Linked DNA regions of Cricetulus griseus. The protein of the gene in region 2 interacts with the protein of the main gene of each other region in a biochemical or structural test. Links are inferred from orthologs where the notes say so. Each region holds a gene or a part of one and is shown on either strand. Other genes may lie near its edges.

Region 1 (7,302 bases), on a different chromosome or scaffold from region 2:
TAAAACTGAAAGGGTTGCGTCAGGTTAGGAAGGTGGCTCAGTGATTCAGGTCATTTACTGCTCTTGTAGAATACTGGAGCGCATTCAGTCCCCAGTACTCAATTTGGGAGGCTGATAAGTTCTTACAGCTCTAGTTCCTCTTGGGTACTACAAGAGGCACTACACACACATGTGCATAAACATACATGCAGGAAAACACCCAAACGCATGAAATAAAACTTTTAAAATTAAAATGAAGGGGGGGGGGACAGAAAAAGGAAGGTGAAGGATTGATAGTTAATTATTTAATTTCTGTCCTAAAGAAAGAAGGCAAAAGACACAAAAGGGTACAGCTTCTCCCCTGCCCATGGAGACATCATGATGAATGTCCTCTTCCTGATGAGATGCTGTCACGATTACAAAGCTCCATGGAACTGATACATAAATCTATAACTACCCTCTAAGTGCATCATATTTGATTAAGTATTTTTAAGGGGACAAAGAGAATAATGAGCTCATTCTTATGAGTGAAACAAGTCTACAGAAAAGCTCCTAACGTGACTACAGAAGTGTCACTGAGCCAGAGGAATGTTGTTACAGAGGTGAAAGCAAGACATAGTAGTGTGTGCCTGGAATGTAAGGGCTCATGAGGGAGACAGAAGATAAGCAGTTCGAGGCCAGCATGTAAGTCTGAGGCAATGCAGACCTACAAGAGACGACTATCTTTTGGAGCTAGACAGATAGCACTTGTTGCTCTTATAGAGGACCCAAGTTCAGGTCCTAGCATCCACTTGGTGGTTGGTTCACACTTGTAATTTTAGTTGTGGGGGATCTAATGCCCTCTTCTCGTCTCCATGGGCACCAGGCACACACGTGGCGCACAGACATGCATGTAGGTAAAACATCAATCATATACATAAAATATACATATACATAAAAATAATCAAGAGAATGGTGGCACACTCCTTTAATCCCAGCACCTGGGAGGCAGAGACAGGTGAGGTAGATCTGTGAGTTCAAGGCTGGCCTGGTCTACAAAACGAGTTCTAGGTCAGCCAAGGCTGCCAGAGAGACCTATCTCAAAAAATAAACAAACAAATGGAGCGGGGGAACATGCTTGTGTTTGTGTCACACTTGCTGCCCCATTACCCAAGGAGTCAGGTGAAAACCCTTTGAAGGATGGAGGGTGTGTGTGTCCTCAATCATTGTCCAAGGGACTCACTTGACTACATAAAGGCTGTTAAAACCTGATGGAGTGAGTGTCAGGTAAAGTGACTTTCAGGGAGATGGCAGTGTGTCAGTCTAGCTGAGCATCAGAGAGCACTTACAGTTGAGTTTGAGTAGTTTCCCATCAGTTGCAAGTGAATTGATATCAGCAGTGCCATAGGAGTTGACAAGACTGAAGGTGAAAAGCCTCCTGTGCCCTGGCTGGCCCTTCACCTTGTGGGTGGGCTCACTAGGGCCATCTCCCTGCTCGTCCTCACCACTGCCTTCTGTTTCTGACAGATGCTCTTTTCCTTCCTCTTGATGATCCATTTCTTCATCGTCGTCTCCTGACGCACATGAAAAACAATCTATGTGAGTCCCATATGTCAATGTTGAGATTTTTAGTTAGCCAGGTATGGTGATGTCTATCTATAACCCCAGCACTCAGAAGGCTGAGGCAGGATAGTGAGTTCAAGGCCAGCCATAAACACACAGCAAGTTTGAGGCTGGCCTAGGCTACATGAGACCCGGTCTCAAAACAACAAAACCCACAAATAAACCATAAAATGTTTATTTAATACTTAAGTGTGTTATTACTTCTTCCAATTTTGCTGTGTATGTTAAAGTGCATTTACCTTTATACACCTCTATCGTATTAGGTATTTGTTTAACATGTGACAGTCCCCAAGGGGCACACAGGTGTGCTAGGAGTCCATGATGAGGAAGCAGAGACCCAGAGAACTTTAATGAGTCTTTTGTAAGTAGTTCCCTCTTGTCCTCATCATTAGGTTCACAGACAAAAACACACTAAAATGAAACACTCAATAAAACAGTTTTGCAAGGAACAAAATTTAAAAGTCTATTTAAAATCCTGCAATCCCAGGGCTTAGGTGAGAGAAGAGAGGATTGGGAACTAAAGGCAAGCATGGGCTACAAATTGAGTTCTAGCCCAGTCTGGCTAGAAAAAAAGGGGGGGGGTCGTCTAGACTGGTCAGAGATACAGGCATTTGCTGCATAAACCTGGTAATCTGAGTTTGTGCCTCAAAGCCTGCACAAGGATGGATGGAGAGAACTGACTCCAAAAAATTAACCTCATTCATACATGCCCACACACATACTATGCACACATAAGACACAAGAGTAATGAATAAAAAATTTAAAAATCCACCAAAACCAAAGCTTTGAGGGCATTTATGGGAGGCATAAAGGCACATGATCACCTAAGTGTCCAAAAGAAGAGTAGCAACTACACGGCAGGACAGGTGTGCTCCTTGGTAAAGACGGCTCGTCAGCACCTGGCCACAAGGGATGCCATGAACACACTGTACTGTTTTTCCACACTGATTTCCTTCTCTCCCAGAACCTAAAGTCAGCCACTGACTATAGCTTCCTAGGAAGACAGAAATGCCCCAAATAGCCAGCTTCAATCTTCTGATTAGCTGACCAGGACGTCTGTCATCTTTGGGCACTAAAGGCTCACCAGCCATGCAGGATGGTTTGCACAGGTACATGCTAGGTAAGTACCAACTAGGCTATGCTAACAATGAGAATTAAATTCTGATTCTGGAGGCCTGGGAGGTAGCACAGTGGTCAGTGATTGTTCAAGACTCTAGCCCTGATCTCCAGCACTGCAAAACCAATAAATTTTTTAAATTTTTTTGTTTTTTGTTTTTCAAGACAGGGTTTCTTTGTATTGCTTTAGAGGTTGTTCTGGAACTCCCTCTGTAGACCAGGCTGGCCTGGAACTCAGAGACCCACCCGCTTCTGCCTTCCAAGTGCTGGGATAAAAGGTGTACTGGTCACAACCATAGGGCAACCAAGTAAATCCTGACTCTATTTCATAACCATAGCCTTGTTACCCAATCCCTCTAGGCTCAGTGTGTCTGAGATGAAACCCAATGTGTATGTGCAGGGCTCTAAGAGGACTCTACAAAGTACAAAGGTTAACAATGACTCCCAAGAGACCCTGACCTCTACCAGCCCACCTCAGATTCTTCCAAGAAGAGGGAAATTGAGGCACCATAGCCTCACAGCAGGAATGCTCACCTTCATAGCTGCTCCTGGAGCCATTACAGGCCCCAGGTTCCAAGGGTGAGCTGAGAAACTCATCAGGCAAAGGCTGTTTTATATAGCGGCTTAAAAAAACAAAAGACTATTAGTATTAACTTTTAACTCTTTCTCCACAATGCAGCTATGAAGCAGTACATAATTTATATATTCAGTTACTAACAAACATAATGTAACGGTTCAAGAAATTAAGATGCACCTAAGAAATCACATGTTAACTTAATAAGCCCATAAACATACCAAGAAAGGCCAGTTTCATGGTTTCTGGGTCACGTGCATTGTTTAATTTTATTGGAAACAAGGTTCCATACATGCCAGGATGGCCTCAAATTTGCTACATATTTAAGAATAACCTTTAACTCCTGACCCACCTGCCTCCACATCTCAAGTGCTAAGCTTACAGGTGCACACTATACCCATGCCTTCTTTATGGAGTGGTGGAGAGTGAACACAGGGCTTTGTGCATGCTAGGCAAGCACTCTTCCAACTGAGTGCCATCTAAGTATACTTGATATGATTCTAGGAATCGGAGGTCTGCACAAACCCTGGCTCATGGTACTTATATGTGCCAATTACTCCATCCCTTTAGCTTCTACCCTGACCCTCCCAGGGGCTGGCACAATTCCATTTTTCACAAAAGAGAGTAAATGGATCAACAGACATACTACAAATGACTAAAGTTGCTAGATGGACCCATTAATCTCAGAAAACAACCAAATTGCACTTCTGGCACCAACCTGATACGATCACAAACAGCCTGATACAAAGCCTCGAGGGTTAGCTTGTGCTTAGGGACAGAAACGAGAAGTGGCTGTCCATATAGCACCGCCCCAGAAGAAGTACTTGATGGCCTGGACTTCTTCTCTCGAAAGTAGACTGGAAGAGTGATACATTCCGAGCCGTCCATGGAAGTGTTGCAGACCTCATACCTGCATGAGCCATAGAAGAGGCCCCATCAGCAAGACAGATATAAGCAGCAAGGTGGTGAGGATTGTGATTATAAAGGACAGAGTACCTTCAACAGAAGGGAGATAAGCCATTTCCACAGTGATTACAGATTGATCACTGTCAACCCATGTTGAATCTACACAGCCCAGACTCTGGACTAACCCCCAAAAGACTTAAAGTGTGGCTGTTCTCAGGAACCCATCTACTAACTTCACCTTTTCTCACTAAAAAGTTGAACTTTTTAAAATTAGTGAATTTTCAGTCTCTGTCTCTTTCCCTCCTTTCATTTCCCAGGCAAGTTTCAAATTTACCATGTAACTGAGAAGAACCTTAAAACTTCTAGCCCTTCTACCTCCACCCTCAAGTGCTGGGATTACAAACATACCTGGTTTATTTGGTGATAAGGGTCAAACCCAGTTCTTTGTGTATACCAGGCAAACACTCTACCAGCTAAGCTGATTGTTTTTGAGAGGGTCTTGTTAGGTAGCCAAGACTGGCCTATACCTTCTATGTAGCCTAGGCTGGTCTTGAACTTACAGAAACCTTTCTGCATCAATCTCCCAAATGCTGGGATTATAGAAATTACCACGGGCCAGTAGTAAAGTTCCCTTGAACAAGTGGTTGGCTGGAGCAGCCACAAAATTTAGTAAGTCCATTGCAACCTCTGTACCCAGGAAAATGACACATACCCTGTTTTTCAACAAAGCAGCACTTTGCACTGTCTTCATGGTGATGAGCAAGCTGAAATATCTGAGATTGCCTGAGCCGCCAACACCTACTCTTTTCTGAGATGGGAACTGTGGCCCCATGACACCTGCCTCAGGATCAGAGACCATAGCAGAGCCCAAATCCCTCTATACTACAGCCCTCTGTTTGACCTGGTCTCTCATACAGCCGTGACTTTGTGGGGTGGTGATGGGGTTGAGACACAGGGTTTCTCTGTGTAGCCTTAGCTGTCCTGGAACTCACCATGTAGACCAGGCTGGCCTCAAACCCAGAGATCTGTTTGCTGGGATTAAAGTTGTGCGCCAACAGTACATGGTAGAGCTATGACTCTTACTGAGCAAGGAAGCTGAGAGCAGAACCACTGAGCTAGTTCTTTAAGAAACAAACAACTGACCAAAGCTGTGTTTGTGCAATGCTTCTGAGTACTGACAAATGCTCAGTTTCCTGAACGTACATTTCCCTTGGGAGGCACTAGGACAGATACACATGAGCAATGATGTCAGACCTGGGAACACAAACAGGACAAAGCCTCCACAGTGTCCTTCTGGTGATATATCAGAAACTACTAAGTACTTACACAAAAATGTCATCTCGAGGCATAATGTGGCTTAAACCTTCATCCATTTGGAAAATTTTATGGAACCGGTGATTATATACATCTGTGACCACCATCTAAGAATCAAGAGTAAGTACATAAACATGACAGGATGGCTCACAGAGCTCCTACTCACTGATTACAACCCAGAAACAAAGGGCGGAAATGCCCCTCTGTAGTGCTGCCTGCAGAGAAACACCATGTGAGTGGTCCCAAGGCTAGGGCCAGGACATGAAAGGGAGGAACATGGCTGTTAGCAGCACTGGCATGCTGGTAACATCTGCCCTCCAGTGGTAGGCATGGTGAGAAGCGAGCGCTGGTAGAGACTGTCATTGTCTAAAGACCCCGGTGGCTTTCCAGAGCTGGTCTCCACACCCCACACAGCACACAATGATGGAAGCAGAGCCCTACTCTTGTCCCTCTGACAATGGGCAGCATCATTGCAGGGGAGGAAAAATGGTGTTTCCCTGTGCTGGAAGGGATCATGATCAAGGCCAGAAGCCACGAGGAATCAAGACATACACCAATGATGACATTCGTGCTGTCCAATAACAACCTTCCAAAAGTGGCTAAAAGTTGGAAAGGAAACTCCAAGGGGCCATGAAGTGACTTAGCCATGTTAAGGGCCACTTACATTTTCTGCAGCAATGCCAGACAATTTAGCAAGTGCTTCACACAGGTCAGATATGGCCCCCATCAATGGCACAGTCACACGGCACTGCAAAGGAGAAACAGGCAAGGTGATAGGAGTACTCCAAGGGACATGAAGTGACCTTGGAGAAGCACACATCATGGGGACATAAAGACCCTTCCAGAGGCAGTGTGTGGCCCAGGTGAGTTAAGTAGACAGAGCCAAGTCTTTGATATTAGCAAAGCTTCAACATTCAGGCACAGTCAGCCACCTCTTTCTTTCCCAAGCATTGTTTTTGTTTATACTTTACTTTTGGATTAGGTCACTACTCTCCACCCTCTCCCCCTCCAGACAGGGTTTCTCTGGATTTGCAGACCAGGCTGACCTCGAACTCAGACATCCTCCTGCCTCTGCCTCCCAAGTGCTGGCCTGAGTGCTGGGATTAAAGGCATGTGTGTCGCACCTCCTCTTATGTCCTTTAAAGAATTGTTCAAAGCATAGAAATTGCCTTTGATACTATGTATTACCTTCCTTTCTTTTCCTTTTTGAGACAGAGCCTCACTGTGTACCCTGGCTAGCCTGAAATTCATTATGAAGACCAAGCTGGCTTCAACTTGACAGAGATCTTTTCTAACTGCCTCTGCTCCCCTTGAGGAAATGTGTGCACCATCACACCCAGAGAATATTGCCTTTGCTTAGAAAGTGGGTGGTGGGGTGTCAGGCCAGTGATAGGACACACCTTTAATCCCAGCACTCAGGAGGCAGAGGGAGTTGGATTTCTGTGTGTTCGAGGCTAACCTGTTATACAGAGTGAGTTCCAGAAAAGGCTCCAAAGCTGCACAGAGAAACTGTGTCTTGAAAAAAAAAAAAAAACAAAGCAACAACAACAAAAGAAAAACAAAACAAAAAAGAAATTTTTAAAAAGTTCAGAAGACTAAGTGAAAACACTTTGAGCCACCAAAAGAATTGGACACGAAGAGCCAATGACCTTAAACCATTAAGCAGGTAAACCAGGTTATTACAATTTCATAAATAGAAAACAATGAGAAAGTGACAGAGAAGCCCCAAGGACCTTTACAACAGATCCTCAACAATGAATGAGTTTACATAAAGTCTGACAGAGAGAGGTCAAGGGTGCACACACAGACTA
Region 2 (6,829 bases):
AGGTTAACCTTTAGTCATCAAAGTTCTGTGTTGAAATGGGTCTCTGTGAGGCTGCACTGCGAGAGCTGAGAGGCTTCTTCAGTTTGAGTTGGAACAACAAGGGAGCAGCTGCAGTTTCTTGTTTCTAGCAGCTGCTGGGTCATAATTGTTTCCATCCATAGTGTATAGAAAAACCTCTGGAATTACTGACTGAATTAAAAAAAATCATCCTGGATTTTCTTTATTGTGCATTTATCCATCCTTCTTAAATCTGCTTACAGCATTTTTGAAGCTCTGGATATATTTGTGTTCCAGCTCAGCTACTAATTGCACTTTCTTCAAGGCAATGGAACCAGGGAAGAGCACACCTATAAACTGACAACTGTCAGCCTCTGAGCACAACTTTCCCTTTCTTGTGAGATTCAACTGCAAAGACTCACCAGGCTAGCATGGCACCTAGACTTTGGCTGTCACTGGGGACATCAAGTATACTGTCATTGTTATATTTAGCTGTTTCCTGAACCACTTTCACTACCCTGGAAGATATTCCGGGGAGGGAAAACAAACAAACAAACAAAACAACAAATTAAAAAAAACCCTCCAGCAACAACAACAACAACAACAACAACCAGAAAAACCAACCCAAACCAAAAGATATACAATGTTAAAGACACATATTCTGGGCTTTATCAACAAGGACTGAGACATAGTTTCCTAGGAAGCCCTTCTGCAAGCCATGGAAGATACAGGAATAGCTACCTGGCCAAAGGTAATAGCCAAGAAATATAGAAAAGAAAACAAAATAGGCCATACAAAGGAGGCAGAAATGTGATTTTGACTGAGCTAGATGAATTTGGTCCATTGTGAGGAGTTGTTTCACTGGAGGGAATCATTAAGGAACCTATGTTAGGAATATTGATGTTGAAAGTCAGTTGACATTGACTTTCTGTTATCTCCATCTAATGCCTTCATTCTGGGGCCCTGACTCCTCTAAAGAGATGAAGGTGTGGGATGGTTCCAACTGGATGGTCAAAAAAGGCAGAGCATGGCTGAGGAACACCAACAGGAAGTGAGTAACAGTAGCCAGAAATGGCCTCCAGTAGTCATTGGACCTTGATCATGACAAGGAGGAGGTAACAAGTGTCCAGAAGGTGCTGTCAATATGCACCAGCTCCTGATCATCACATCTTTAGTGGGCAGAGCTTTAGAGGTGCTGCATTGCCTCCATCATCATTGAAACCAACATTAAAGAAGGGCCGTAGAGGTCCAGCAAAGGCACACTCCGAGAAGGTGTAGATGAGGGAGCCATGGTCAGTGATGTTATAGAAGGAGACAATGCCAGCTTCATAGTCTACAAAGATCCCAACTTGGCATGGAGGCACCTGAAGGTGGAGGGTGGTCTGGGGGTTGGTGCCAGCCTCATAGTTGTCTTTTTTCCACAGCCAAATGGTCCAGAAGCCATTCTCAGGACTGAGTGAAAAATGTCCCTTTCTCCGCACAGATTCTCTGCAAACCCCCAGATCCCAGGCCTCCTTCCTGGTCACATCTACCTCCCAGTACATCTTCCCAGAGGTGAATCTTTGGGCACCTAGCACCATGGGGTAATTATTAAATCTCTCATCATTTTCAGACACATTCTGACGGCTATCTCCAATCCTTGCTTGTCTCCGATCCTTTGGGATAATGAGCCATGGGTTGGCTGTGTTTCTATCCAGAGTAATATGTACTGCAGAAAGAAGATCACAGGTAAGCCTGGGTGGGGCCAGCAACTCTTTGCCTGTAGTGAGGGCATTCATGCAAACTCAAAGGTGAGGGGTGACCCTGAACCTCACTATGTGAGGAAATGACCCACAGCAACCCAGGTACTTCCTCTGACGTGTGAGGAAACCTTACCTGTGTGTCTGTACTACACTTACATTCTCTTGACACCTCTTCCACATGCTACCATCCTGTGCTCTCCATGACCGTCTACTCTGCACCCTTATTATCCCCTTCTATTCCAGCCCACAGTTCCTAGAAGTCACCTCACCCCAACATGTCCTCAGCATCTTCTTCCGCCCTGGCACATGGCATGCATTTGTCAGGTCCGGGGAGGTAACATCTAATGATTCCAGGTTCAAGGATCTACTCCTAGGGAAAAAAGAGTTTGAGAATCTTACTTGGCACTCCTGTCTTCTACTCTAGGTCCTAATGACATTCTTCATGGACTGACTTTGATAATCACATTCAATACAAACTTACAAATACTCATGAATTCACTGTCTATGTGAAAGGAAAAAAAAATAGTTTCAGAGTTCCACGTTCTAGGAAACTCAAATAAACCTCCACCTCTTCCCAAAGCTAGAGGTCACTACTAAGTGGATTCCATTTAGTTTTCAGGCAACCATCTAATAGGGTGAGTTCTGTGAAGAACCTGGGGAGTCCTAGCAGACTCAGATTACCTTTTTTTGGCGTGGGGACTTTATAAAGATGATATAGTCTAACTACATCAGGCAATCCACCAAGTGAGATGCCCATTAGCCTTTTGAGGCCAGAGAACAATTTAGAGAGGACCAGGTTTCTGAGAATAGGGTGCATGGGGAAAACTCCCAATACATGTGTGCCTAACTCAGTAACCATTTCTATGCACACATACTTCCCGTTCCCTTTTCTAACTGAGGAAACCTCTCCTTACCTTTCCAGGACAATTGTCACCTCCTGAGGAGAGAAGAGACACAGAGTCAATTCTGGAGTTTCTGATTGACAGAATTCCCAGGGTCATGTGACATCACCCATGTTTCCTCTGGGCCCTGCTCTGCAGCCTTTCCTTGGGCCACAGACAATTCTGACTAGTTCTTAGCAGAAAGGACTCATGGCTGCTCTTAGAATATCTAGGAAGCTAACATGGATATGGCCTGTAGCTAGGATATGACCAGGGCTTTACAGACTGATTGAGAAAACAAATTAGAAGGGCTAGGTTCTTGGAGGAGGGGGGTTTACCATGGAGACAGTAGAAGAGGAAAATAAATAACACAACCTGACTGAAGCCCAGAGGCAGTTGCAGGAAGGATATCCTTCCTGCTGAGGTAGGATATCCAGAAAGGCTCCTTGCCATTTATGGGATTGAATAGTTTGGGGAGAAAGGGTTAGTTGGTTGAAAGCTTTGTCCTGTGCTGTGGTTAATCCTCTGCCTTATTTAGAGTGAGCTTAAGTGAGAATATTCCTTCCCATAATGTTGGAACTGGCAACCTTCTAGGCTCAGTCAAAAGGCACTAGGGAGCCAGTTCAGGGATAGGAAAGGGAAAAGCAAGGGAAAGCCTTCCAAGCCAAACCAATATAATCAGCTTTTCTGAACAAACACTCAAGGAAATGTTTATCTGAGAGACAGGGACGGAGGTGTGAGAAAAGAAGCACAGAGATCATCTAGACCATAGTCTTCCAACGTGGGGTGGGGCTAACATATCATGGGTGGATGCAAGATGGCTTTAGAATACACACGGATTTTAAAAATAATGATGTACGTGTTTCATCTTATTTTTTTGTCTCTTACTACTTAGATAAACTGACGTCATTTAGCTTGACTCTCTCACTAAGTCTCTTAATGTCTCTGCTCCTTAGTTTTCTCACCCATGGACTTGGATCACAGTAGCACTTACCTGAACCATGGTAAGTCATCTGTGTGCTGTTTAGGAATCTGCAGTTATCATTACGGGAAAAAATTAGAAAAAACAGTAGCACCAATATGTAATTTCTTAGTTATCATGCCTTGGCAAAAATTATTTTAAAGCTAAATTTATTTTGGGGAAAGAGTGAGACTATTTGCAGAAGCAGAACAAATTAAAAATCATGTAGGGAGCTCTCAGGAATCCAGGAAGTATTAAAATCCAACTACGACTAATGTTAGGCACACTTTCCTGCATCCACTCCCCTTATGGCTTCATCAGTGGAGACACTGACTATAGGAAAGAAAAACAGTCCCATAACCTATCACTATGGAGAGAAATGACACAACTCAGTTTTGGAAATTATACTTTCAAAAACATTCTTATGGCTACTTGTCTAAGCACCAGAATGGATGTTCTCATTTAATTCCTTAAAAAAGAAAACCACTTGAGATATGTAAATATTTATATATAATATATATATATATATATATATATATATATATATCCATATATCCTGGTGACGTGTGCTAAGTGTCATGCTCCAGCTCCCACACCTGGCACTACCGGGGATGTCCATCTATTGGCTACTACTTGGAGCATGTTCTCTTGTATCTATACCCTGTTGTTCTGCAATGGAAGCCACTCCTGGGTCCACATTTCTGTTTATTTAAGAATGTCCCAAAGATTAAGGCAGCACTTGCATTAGGAGCCATTCCAGAGAGTTCTGGTTTTCTCCCAGTTACTCCTGGTGCCTGTGCATGGGTCTCACCTGCAGTAGCTCCAGCTGGGAGCCCCGGCTCCTCCTCTCCAGCTCTGCGATCAACTCCTGCAGGGCCTGGTTCTTCTCAGCTAGCTCAGCCTCCTTCTCCCCCAGGAATTTCAGGTGCTCCCTCTCATCCTTCTCCAGTTTCTGTAGCTGCCTCTGCTCTTCCTTGGCCAGCAAGCTATTCTGATGTACAAACTCCGAGTGAATCCTCGACTTTTGTATGTCCACGTTTCTCTGAGGTGGCAAGGGCAAGACAGGAGTTTTGCATTTTTAGTTTTAATAAAAATTTCCTAGGCTTTGGTGGCAGAGGCGTTTCTGTTCCCTGGTCACTCATCCCTCTGTTTATGTCTGGGAATAGGTGCGCGCACACACCCACAACAATGTGCGCTCTCCAGTGTGCACACGGCTGGCCTCTAGCAAACAGCATTGTTTAAGTGGCACACAGCAACTTCTGGCACCAACATCTTCTCAACTTTTCTTCCAAAACCCAGTAATGCCTATGTGAGTCCCTGTGTTCTCCTTCTATCTTGACAAGTCACAGAGAGTAAAATCTTTTCCCACTTCCAATGATGCACAATTCCTAGGCCCGAGGGGACAACAGTGGCCTCAGTACAGTCTTTGCTATCTTGGGAGGGTCACCGGATGGCACAGATGATCTCGTTTCTTTTGCCACCACAGCTTGATTCAGTCTTTGCTAATCCCATTCCACTTTTGGGGTCTGTGATTGCTCTGAGCCCCTTACACTCCTTGTCAATTTCAGATGTATCCTTTTTTCTCCTGGCAAATTACCAATGCGACAGACTTTAATTCTTTACCAGGCTTTGCACTAATAGCCTGGTCATCATTAAGCAGCCACCGAGTCAGGTGGGCCTCCTACCTCAGACTTACATAGATCCTTTCCGGCTGTTCCCTCCCCTCTTTGTCATGTCTAAAGGGTGCAGGAGTTGGGATTTTCTCACAGGATACCTCAGACCTGTTATCACAAGACCGTCATTCACCGAGACAGGGTCAGAAGGGATGGTGTGACCTTCTTAGACTTTCTGCAGTAATTCTTGAACTTTGTGACAGATTGGGGGAAATCTCATCTGATTTTAAGCTTCCTTCCTTCTTTCTTTCTTAAATTCTTCTCTGTCTAGAGATATAGTGTGGATGGTCCTTGGGGAGTGACCTATATAACAATTCTCCCACCCCTTGGATAGGCACAGTCATAGTTAATGCTTGCTTGAGATCAAGACCTGGGACCCAGCCTATCCCCGGGTTCTTGCCTTCCAGTCTGTTCTTTGCATTGCAAGATCCATTTCCAGCTTCTCGGCGAATTCTTTCCCTTTCCTCAGTTTTTCTAAAGCCACGAGGAGCTTCTCCTGTAGAAAAAGGTGGTAGGTTAGTCCCCAGATAGAGATGTGGAAGAGGGGAATGGGAAGACTTTGGGGGAAACCTAGTATGTCTTACAAAACAGAGCGACACTGATGGGGAATGGGATCTGGTCATTACATTTCTAATTCACCAGGAAGCCAGAGGAAGCATAATCCACGCACATCCCACGGCATAGTCTCGGCTCCTGAGAAATAAGCTTGTATTTGATGCACAAGTTCCTCTCAATGAGAAACTACCCTCCATTCCCCTGTAAGGATGACTCTCAGTCACTATGCTGGGGAGCGGAGCATTCTTCATGGAGCACCTTCTTTATATCTATGGGTGTCTCTGTGCTAGAGCCTCACCTGGTATACCCGAGCAGCTTCTTCAATAGGGACCTTGGTGTGGTCAAGGTGTTTCCCAGACTGGGCACACACCCAGCAAAGGGCCTGCCCATCTTCCTCACAGAACACTAGAAGTTTCTCTCCATGCTTCATGCAGCGGTCTTCCTGGGTGTCCTTATTGGCATCCCCGGCTGTTTGTTTAAGGTCTTCTACCATGTTGGCTATACGTCGAATGGGCCTGAGGTTTCTGAGCAGAAACTGTTGCCGGCACTCGGGACATATACCGCCACCATTTTTCCCGACCTCAGAAATGCATTCCTTGCAGAAGCAATGGCCACATTCGATACTCATAGGCTCCACCATGGAGTCCAGACAGATAGAGCAGATGACATTTTCCCACATCTTTTCCAGAGCCATCTTGGAGGATTTTGAGTGCAGAGGAGGAGGGAAGAGATAAATGAAAGTTTGCATGACAAAAGCAAAAGCAAGACAATACCAAAAGTTCCCAAAACAATGCAAAGGAAAACATGTGAGAAAATGACACAGGAGAAGGAAACAAATGAAGGCAAGAGTATCAACCTGCACAACAGCAGCCTCTCCTCCCTAGTCTGACCCATTGATCTAGTCAGGCAGAAGGGGAAACTGAGTTTCCAGAAGAAACATTGGAAAGTGGCGGGGATAATGCTGTTAATAATTCCAGCTCATCATATCCATCCCTGCTTTAACCCTCAGTGTCCAGACTT

What was found. The genes of interacting proteins can lie anywhere in the genome.
Region 1: of the proteins of Trim21 (region 2) and Usp4, one has a biochemical effect on the other in vitro, tested with the Homo sapiens proteins (2 studies listed by BioGRID). The link is inferred for Cricetulus griseus from reciprocal best matches to the Homo sapiens genes TRIM21 and USP4.

Annotation. Positions count from the first base shown.
Region 1 is NC_048597.1:216,545,902-216,553,203, reverse strand, and holds part of Usp4 (ubiquitin carboxyl-terminal hydrolase 4), read right to left. Parts: intron 6,240-7,302; coding exon 6,156-6,239; intron 5,599-6,155; coding exon 5,504-5,598; intron 4,182-5,503; coding exon 3,990-4,181; intron 3,321-3,989; coding exon 3,232-3,320; intron 1,533-3,231; coding exon 1,308-1,532; intron 1-1,307.
Region 2 is NC_048596.1:96,822,455-96,829,283, reverse strand, and holds part of Trim21 (E3 ubiquitin-protein ligase TRIM21), read right to left. Parts: intron 6,504-6,829; coding exon 6,108-6,503; intron 5,751-6,107; coding exon 5,655-5,750; intron 4,624-5,654; coding exon 4,393-4,623; intron 2,677-4,392; coding exon 2,654-2,676; intron 2,110-2,653; coding exon 2,009-2,109; intron 1,706-2,008; coding exon 1,161-1,705; 3' UTR 1-1,160. UniProt on the Homo sapiens protein: E3 ubiquitin-protein ligase whose activity is dependent on E2 enzymes, UBE2D1, UBE2D2, UBE2E1 and UBE2E2.